Coturnix japonica: one gene and its partner. Each later gene encodes a partner of the first gene's protein in a complex. Links are inferred from orthologs where the notes say so. Each region holds a gene or a part of one and is shown in the gene's direction. Other genes may lie near its edges. The genes, in order: AURKA and TPX2.

Region 1 (4,315 bases):
TTATTGCGCTGCAACGAGCCGAGGCCTCGCAGCCGAACGCGGAGAACGACACGAGGCCGCCGGTACCTACCGACCCTTCCTTCTGCCTCCCTCGCTCTGCCCCTAAAATGGCGACCGGAGCTCTGAGCGCATCGATCGGCGGCGGCGGTAAAGGAGGAGGCGGCGGCGGCGGCCGAGACCGAAGAACGCTCCTCCGCGAGGGCTGCTGCATCGAGCGCCCGCACATCGATTGGAGCCGACTCTTAGGGGAGAGAACGGCGGCGTCACGTCACCGGTGACGCGTTAAGGACGCGACGGGCCGCTCTAACAGGACCCCTGCCTTGTTAAAGGACCCCCCGCCCGGTGGGGAAGGGGCGGGCTGCAGAGCGGAGCCCAGCGGGGATCCCGGGATCCAACGCCCCCTCCACCGTGGCTCGGACCCGGTTGCAGCCCGTGGGGTGACGTGTCGGGCAGGGCACAGCCTCGAGCAGGCCCAGGCGGCCCGTAGACACACAGAATGACCCGGGTTGGAAGGGACCTCAAGGATCACGTAGTTCCAACCCCCCTGCCTGGCAGGGCCACCAAACATACACCTTTACTAGATCAGGTTGCCCAGTACCGCCCCGTGCTGCCCATCGGAGCGTAGAGCTGCTATGAGCACCGCAGCTGGGGGCTGCGAGTCTGTGTTTGGGCTACAATACCCGCACGGTGCTGCCGGACACCGCAACACCTGCCATGGGGCACCACGGCACACAGGCCTCACGAGTGTTTAGGGCCGCCAGCTCAGCCAGCTCAGCCCCTTCCATGTCCCACCGCCACCCAACCCACAGCCCCGTGCTACTCACGTCAGCCTCCAGAAACGGCAGCCGTAGCGGCCGCGGGTCGAGCAGCGGAGCTGCCATGCTCCCCATACTCCCCATGCCCCGCGGCAGCTGCCGTCGGTCACACGCTGCAGCCACGCGACGACCGGACATCTTCTTTTTCCCTATGGTGTCCCGCTTGTCGACACCAACACACCGGGACCGCCCTCGAGCCGGGTCGTTAAGGACGCGGAGCCGCTGATAAGTTGCCTTCAATACCTTCAATCGCTTCTTCAGGCAGCGGGTCCCTCAGTGCTGTGAGACAGAGCAGCACCACGAGCCGCTCCGCAATGCACGAGCAGCACCGGGCGCTGTGCAGCCAACAGCCGGGCGTCCCCTCGTGCTGAGCTGGGTTGGTGCCCCCTTAAGGCTCGTTAAGGGCACGTGGAGCAGCGCCGTGCGAAGCTGAGGCCTGATGCTCCTCCTGCTGCTGCCCGTCGCACCTCAGCACACAATGGCCCCCAGCTCCCACTCGGCTTCACGCGAGGTGGCAGCGCCGCGTCTCCCTCAGCCCCAGGTGACGCTGAGGAGGATCGAGGTGTGAGCCCGGCTGGATGCAGCACTAACCTGGAGCCCTTCACCCCCGAGGCCTCGTTGAGCGGGAGTTGTAGCGCTGCCACAGGTGGGTGGGCTGGACGTAACGCGATTTGCGTAACGAGAGACCGCGGCCGGGCTGAGACTTACGGAGAGAAAGTGTGTGAGCTCGATCCACGCACTTGGAGTACGGAAGAAACAAGCGGCGGACAGACGGTACGTAAAGTACGTATGTAACGTAAACGCCGCCCAAAGGGTGGGCGGGTCGGGACGACGCGGGTACGCAGCGGGCCGCCGTTGCGCATGCGCACCGCAAGCTCACGGCGACGAGTCTAGGCCTCGCGACGAGCGGGGAGTCAGGAGAGCCAATGGGAAGGCAGGTAGACTGAAAAGCGGCCAATCGGAGGGCGCGGATGCCAGGAGAGGAGCCAATGGCGAGGGGGCGGAATTTTAAAGGCTATTTAAGGGAGGGAGGTTTGAATTCAAACAGTTGTAGCGGCCGCGGGCCGAGGTGAGTGTGGGGACGGCTGGGCCGGGTCGGGCCTCGCGTGGTGCTGTGCTGTGGCCTTACCTGCGGCCTTACCTGCCTCGAGGGCGGCCCAGCCGGCGTGTGGTGTGGGTACGGCCCGGCCGTTACGGAGCTGGGGCGGGCAGGCCTAGGGGGAGGCCTAAAGTGAGGCCTAGGGGGCAAAGGGAGAGCAGCACGTCCGAGGAGTGGCGCTGCTTGGAGGCTCAGCCCTGTTCTCTGTTTCATTCTCCATAGGTGAAAGTGTATCTTGCTTTTCTCGGGCACTATGGACAAGAAGATAAAAGAGAACTGTCCTGGGAACCCTTCTCGTGTTATTAAGGTGAGAGGCTTATCGAGTTGATGGGGGTGACTGAGCTTCTGGCTGCTGTTATTAACATCCAATTATTTAATTGGGAAGTCCTAGTAGTGCAGTTTTTATCCCTAATCAACTAATAAGACAGCAAAAACATACAGGCTGTGACTTGCAAAGGACGTGCTGCCTGAATGTTGTATATCTTTGTGCATGCCTTAAGATTACATATCTTTGTATACAGAAGCACGGACATTCTTTTCTTCTAATTTAAGTATAAACAGGTCCTTGTCAGGTTTTAAAGTAGTAGAAGCATGGTTTAAAATCAGCTTTCAATGCATTGGATCAAAAAAAAAAGGAGAATATAAGTCTTCCTAGAGAGTGAAGGCATCAGTAACAGATCATTAGCATTTGAATTTAATTCTAGAGCAACTAAGCATTACTTAAATATTAGTTTAAATTTCCTTCCTCGACTGAAAGAAAAGGATTAAAAGTAGGTAAAGGAACTATCCTAAACTTGGCTTTGTTCTGATGAACTCCTGTAGTAGCGCAAGGCATCTTAAAATACACATCACTCAAGGGAACAGTGACTCAAAGCATTGTATGTGAACAGGATTCCTATAGTAAAGGCTGGTCTGAGCTTTCCACTGTTATCTACACTTTGGTGGCTCTGTGTCTAGTTATGAATAAGTATGTTGTTAATAAGACAGTAGTTTTCTACAAGTCAATTCAATTCTTAAAAAATAAGATCAGAGTAATTTTAACATCTTCTTTTAATATACTGGTTTTTTTTCTCCTCCCTATCTTTTTCTGCAACCTGTACCTAACACTGTTGTACAGGGACATAAAGGTTATAGTGTTCTATTCTATTACTAATGTGCAGTTGTTGTTTTTTGAAGGCAGCGAATCCAGTTGTGGATGGCCCAAAACGTGTCCCTGTGTCTCAGAGTTCTGCCCAGAGCCAGCCACTGAACAGTGGAGTTCAACTGCAACGTGTTCTGTGTCCTGCAAATTTTGCCCAGCGAGTTCCTGTACAATCACAAAAAAATTCTTCACTGTCAAACCAAAAACTGTCTAACAATCAGACAACACAGCAGCCCCGACCAAAACTTCCAGTCCAGCCAACTGCTGGGCCTCAGGTTCCAAGCAAGAGCAGTGAAAAACCTCAACAAGCTCCTGGACCTGGTAATTCCAAAGATGATACATTTCTGTGTTTGTGACACTCAGGAGAATTCAAACAAGAGTGCAGGACAGAAAATGTAAAGCTCACACTAACGACATGTTGGACAGTCCTGTAGAAGAATAGATGGTTGCACCCAGAAAGAGAAAAGCAGCACATACTTCATCTTAGATATTACTGTACTGTCCTTGTTGCTAGAGTTAAGGATTTAGAGGAGCTAATAGAAGTGTTCCTCCAGTCTTGAAAATTTACAGATGCTCATTAGTCAACTTTGAATACATGCAATTGGTATCCCTGCATCATGTTTTTTTCCAGTGTTCATGGTAATCTGATACACAAGAACACTGTATGAGCAGGAGGGAGAAGACTTCTTAATGTTTTCATGAGTTTCAAAAAAGCATTTGAAGTTACACTTTGATAAAGTAGCTCTAACTGCTTTGCTGCTTTGCCACTGGTAAGCTATGCTAGGTTTTAAATACAGAGGATAGACAGTAAATTGCTGTAGATACTACCCAGACTTATTCCTTGTGAATGTTTTGCATTCGCTGGTGGTTTATAGTTGTTCTATTTGATTGTATACAGCAAAGAGTTCTGAAGCAGACAGTGTCTCTAAACAGAAAAGTGAAGAGCCTACTAAAAAGAAAAAGGAAGACACTAAAAAGTAAGTTGCGGGCCTTAAAAACTTACAGCTGTTAGTTGTGCTTTCAATGTCTAGCAGTTCATGCTACAACTGAGTTGCAGCCAAGCTGCTGCCTACTTAAGCCTCTTGATTGCTAAGAACAGTGGCCTTCATAGAGACAATGTTTATTAATGAAACTCTGGGAAGGGTTACTTTGCTTTGGTAATCTTTAGGAACAATAAATTACTTTAATCTGAAGGAAAGCTTTTGGCACAAAAAGGAGCAACTTTTCCTGTGAGAGAATGCTGATAATCACTGCTGTAAC
Region 2 (4,438 bases), about 1.8 Mb from region 1:
TGAGGAACATGCCCGAGAGCAAGGGCTCCCATTTGAAGAACAAGCTTGGTTGACATTACATTTCCACAGGCTCTTGGAAAATGGGTCTCTTATGTAACAGCCAGGGAGAAGGAGGAGAAAAAGGGATGCAGGAGGACAGATCAGAACGTTAACTCTTTGTTTCAACACAGTGGACTGACCCTCTTGCAGCAGAGCATTAAGAACGCAGAGGGAAGGGCCACATACCAAATTCTTGCCCTGCAAGGTCTAGACCGAGCACAAGCACAATCACTGCAGGCAGCTTGATCTGGCCTTGAGCTAGGATGCAGGGAGCCATCCCTATGGGAGAGCAGTTCTTACCCAGCCGCCATTCTCCTGGATCCAGGGATCTAGATGGTCGGTCAAGTACGTGGTCATCCAAGACACAATGCGTCCCACCAGTACCCGCATCTCCTTGTCCACGCTCTCCACGCACAGAGCCCCTCCGAAGGAGAAGAAAGCCACAATGCGCCCCCAGTTCACACCATCGTGGAAGAGTTCATTGACTACCTGCTCGAAGCTCTGGTACGCCGTGCCAGGGGTGATGTGGAGCTGGGAGGTGAGGTCGCTGAAAGCCCTCCTGTACCTCAGCTCAAACTCATCCCCTGCTTCTCTCAGCGCCTGCCTCACGTCAGATGCTCCGACGATTTCATGAACTTCCATGCTGCTCCGGTGCACGGTGGCTCCATTCACTACGTGGCCGGCAGGCGGGTGCCACGATGGGCTCCCGTTGAGGACGCTGTCCATCTCTGCCTCTGCCGCAGTGTCAGTCCTGTTCTCATCCTCTTCCTCCAGCTCGCTCCAGCAGTGCCCCTTCTGCGAGAGCTTGTAGGAAACAAAGTCAATCACTAAGTCCCGGTTACTGCCGGACATTTTCACACCTGGAACGCCCTCAATGAGTCCATGGTCCAGTGCACGAGCAGATAAGCACACTTAGCAGCTCCCGGCTCCACGCTCCCTCACCACCGGCGAACACATCCGACCTTTGCACAGACACACAGAGAGGAAAAGAGAGGCAAGGAAACGGTTAACACGACAGCTTGCTGCGCCGTGCACATCAATAGCTTAACGTTACACTGAGCTCATCACCCAGCTTCGCTCGGAACCGCCGCCGCACACGGAACGGGGATCCCCCCTCGGGGTCACCCTCAGCCCTCCCGCAGCCCCGGGGCTCACCGGGCTCAGGCAGAGCCGGGGCTCGCCGGGCGGAGGCTGAGAGCTGCGGGTGCTGCGGGCGGCCCGGCCCCGCTCCGCTCCGTCAGTCCCGGAGAGACACGGAGGCGGAGGCAGCACCGCCCCCGCCCGGCCCCTCCCGTTAAAGGGCCCGGCCGCGCCCCCCGCCGGCATTGCCCAGCGGGACCGACGGTGTCCGAGCTGGGTTACGGGCTCCGCTTCCCGTTCCCATCCCCGGTGGCTCGGCCCGGCCCCGTGTCCCTCGGAACGGCCCCCAGCGTGGGGGAACGGGAGGGAGAAAGGCTCCAAGTGTCCTTTAAAAGCAGCAGGTAAGAGGTGCGGGGGTCTCCTTTGGAGGAGAAGGGAATGGCAGGGCTCAGTGCAGTATCACGGTATGAGGAGCAGGCCTGGAAATAAGGTAGGAACAGGAACAACCCCAGGAGAAGTCTTCTAAAGACTTCCAGCAACTACACGCAGATGAAACCACAGATGAAATAAAGGGTGTTTGTTTGTAATGTTATTTAAACTGAGGTCCCTGCAGTCGTTTGAATGCTGTTTCCTCTGCACAGCCCCTCCTCCCCACGAGGTATTACAGTCCCTGCATGCACCCCAGCAGCCTTCATGCAATGCATTCCCCCCACCCTGGGGGCTGCAAGGAAAGCACGGAGGGGCTGCTCCTCCCGAAGCCCCATAGCAGCGGGCAGGCAGGGCTGCACAAAGCACAGAGTCACTGTTCTATACTCACCCACACCCCAACCCTGAGAAAAAGGGCAGAGAAAAGCCTGGGAAATAGCAGCTCGGGCTGGGAAACAGCAGCTCGTTCCTTCTGGCTGAGGGTGTTGGATTAAAGTAATTTGACGCTGAGAGGAGGCAACTCCCCAGCCCTCCCACTGTGCTCTCATCCCACTCCACCCCTCCTACCCTCCCTCCTATTCAGTGCCAAGGCTCCGTGCCCTCCTGGTGCCCCCAGCCCTGCCAGCCCCTGGGAGGTCCCACTGTTGTGGAGCCTTTTCCTTCTCCAAAAGGCAGATAACGAAGCGTTCTGATGTATGAAGGAAGCAGGGGCCGCTCCTCTGCTGGCGGCGTTGAGCTCTGAGTAATTGGCGTTTCTTTGTAAGGTTTTCGTGCCAAAGCCTGGCGGTGAGTCAGAGTGTGGGGCAGGACTGGGGCACAGGTAAGGGCTGCAGGGCAATGCAATGCAATACAATGCAGTACAATACAATACAATGCAATGCAATACAATACAATGCAATGCAATGTAATGCAATGCAATGCAATGCAATACAATGCAATGCATGGAGCACTGAGCTGGGGGCAGCAGGATGCAGAGCCCGGGGTGCTGCACCCACAGGGCGGCTGAACAAAGAGCTCCCCCCCGGTACTATGGCAGGGTCTCGCCGTACAGCCCGGCTTCCTTAGTGCCGTCACTCCGGTCCCCTCGTACCGGTGTTGCTGTAGGCCGTACCCGCTCCCATGGCCCCTCTCGGCCGCCGTCCCCACTCACGGGGCCCGCACACGAGGGCCGCCATAGGGCACACAGCCCGCCCCTCGCCATCAGCCAATCACCGGCCGCCACAGCTCCGAGAGGGCGGAGCTAGAGAACGGCCTGCTTTGATTGGTGGAACCGCCCGTCACTCACGGCCTGCCCCGCTCCGCCCCTCACCTCAGCGGTCGGTGGATGGTCCGGGCTGTGACCGATCCCGCTCTATGGGCCCAACCGGTGACGACGCAGGGCTCGGCCGGGAGCCCAGCCGGCCGTCGGGCCTGTCAGCAGTGCCCGGTGTCCCGCCGCATCAGCACCGAGCGGACATTGCGCTGCTGGGCCGAGCCGGGGGGGGCGGGAGGGAGGGAGGGGGCAGCGCGCATGCGTGCGGCGCCGCCGGTCTGAGGTGCGGTGCGCATGCGCCTGCGTGCGTTGTGCGGCCGTGGCAGTGCGCATGCGCAGCGACAAGGAGGCCGGTTGGACTCGAGCGCCCCCTGGCGGCTGCCCCGCCCGCAGGTGCGTTGTGTTCCCGCAGCACTCGGGGCTGTGACTCGGAGCTGAGCTGCAGCCGGGGAAAGGCCGGTGTGGCCATAGGGCTGGATGAGGCGGCTGCTTGAATCCATGGCCATAGAGGGCGGTGTGAGGTTAGTGAGGGGCTGGGCGGGGGGATCCTTATGGCTGCTGTAATCGGGTGACTTGACCTGTTGGTAACAAGGAGCAGACTCGGCAGAGGGCAGACACGGGCGGAACCGGCCCTGCCTGGTAGACCCGCCTCCCTGCAGCTGATTGGCTGTTTCAGAGCCCCGCCTCCCCTGATTGGTCGAAGCCTTTCTCTCCCTGTGCATGATGGGAGTAGCAGTTTGTTTCTGGTGCTGAGGCTTCGGTTCCTTCCGTTCGAATCCTACATTTCCCATCATCCCCCGCGGGAGGGGCGGGAGCGCTCATCCGGGTTCTTTAACGTCTGGACAGCCCGTCCAATCAACACGCAACGAGGGCGTGAGCTGAGCGTTGATTGGTCCATTCGGACAAGACGAGTCCCGTTTGAAATCCTCTAACGGCGGCGGGCAGAAGCCCCGCGCTCGGCGGCTGCGGCGCTGAGGTGAGTGAGGAACGGGGGGGGACACCGGGAATCAACGGCAACCGGGGCTGCCCACAGCCGCACACAGCCCTTCCTGGTGTTGTCCCCGCTTCATGAGTGTGCCTCGGTACCGGCAGCACGGGCTGCTGTTCTGCTTTGGGCCCCTTTGTCCGCTTGTTGGGGGTAGGCCGCAGCCTGACGCTGTGAACGGCTCTGAGGGGGGAAGGGGAGAAAGCAGTGTCTGAAATGGGGGAGAAAAGGGATTTGATGCTTCGGTATTGAAGTAAAAGGGTCAGGATGAGGCCATTGGTGCCCCTTGGTGAGGCCATTGCTGTCACATTGGCTATGGTTATACTGCTCTTTGTGTTGCTTGAACGTCAGTTTATCTAATAATAAGCAGAGGTTACCTGCCTATAAATAACCCAGCCGGTTCCTTGGGCTGCTATTCTTAGGCCCGTGCCTGTCTCTGTATCACTTAGAACCCGTGGGATCTCATTTACGGAGTGTGAGGTGGCCGGGCTCTATTTTGAGCCCTTGGACAGGGGACAGATTAAGGGGAGCTTTAGGGCAAAGGCTGCTGGCACCTCGTTCCCCTCTGGGTGATGTGTGTGGCTTCACTGCTTCAATCCCAGTGTTATATGATGGGGTGGTAGCATAGCTCTGTGCTGTGGTTATAGGGTGATGAA

The links.
Region 2: the proteins of AURKA (region 1) and TPX2 are in contact, whole or in part, in a crystal structure (PDB 3HA6), measured with the Homo sapiens proteins. The link is inferred for Coturnix japonica from reciprocal best matches to the Homo sapiens genes AURKA and TPX2. Residues at the interface, in NP_001310232.1 of Homo sapiens: Lys125, Arg126, Gln127, Trp128, Asp132, Glu152, Gln154, Ser155, Phe157, Leu159, Lys166, Glu170, Gly173, Glu175, Leu178, Arg179, Val182, Glu183, Ile184, Ser186, His187, Leu188, Arg189, Tyr197, Gly198, Tyr199, His201, Val206, Tyr246, Ser249; in NP_036244.2 of Homo sapiens: Gln3, Lys5, Ser6, Ser7, Tyr8, Ser9, Tyr10, Asp11, Ala12, Pro13, Ser14, Asp15, Phe16, Ile17, Phe19, Ser20, Ile31, Asp32, Trp34, Phe35, Glu36, Lys38, Ala39.

What each region holds. Positions count from the first base shown.
Region 1 is NC_029535.1:10,854,447-10,858,761, forward strand, and holds the start of AURKA (aurora kinase A), read left to right. Parts: upstream 1-1,479; 5' UTR 1,480-1,589; exon of another isoform or gene 1,590-1,598; intron 1,599-1,797; exon of another isoform or gene 1,798-1,884; intron 1,885-2,136; 5' UTR 2,137-2,167; coding exon 2,168-2,221; intron 2,222-3,090; coding exon 3,091-3,376; intron 3,377-3,953; coding exon 3,954-4,032; intron 4,033-4,315. Other genes in the region: CSTF1 (cleavage stimulation factor subunit 1), read right to left, coding at 71-241, 825-953. UniProt on the Homo sapiens protein: Mitotic serine/threonine kinase that contributes to the regulation of cell cycle progression.
Region 2 is NC_029535.1:9,011,411-9,015,848, reverse strand, and holds the start of TPX2 (targeting protein for Xklp2), read left to right. Parts: upstream 1-1,390; 5' UTR 1,391-1,520; intron 1,521-1,936; exon of another isoform or gene 1,937-2,061; intron 2,062-2,854; exon of another isoform or gene 2,855-3,026; intron 3,027-3,642; exon of another isoform or gene 3,643-3,773; intron 3,774-4,438. Other genes in the region: BCL2L1 (bcl-2-like protein 1), read right to left, coding at 340-891. UniProt on the Homo sapiens protein: Spindle assembly factor required for normal assembly of mitotic spindles. Required for normal assembly of microtubules during apoptosis. Required for chromatin and/or kinetochore dependent microtubule nucleation.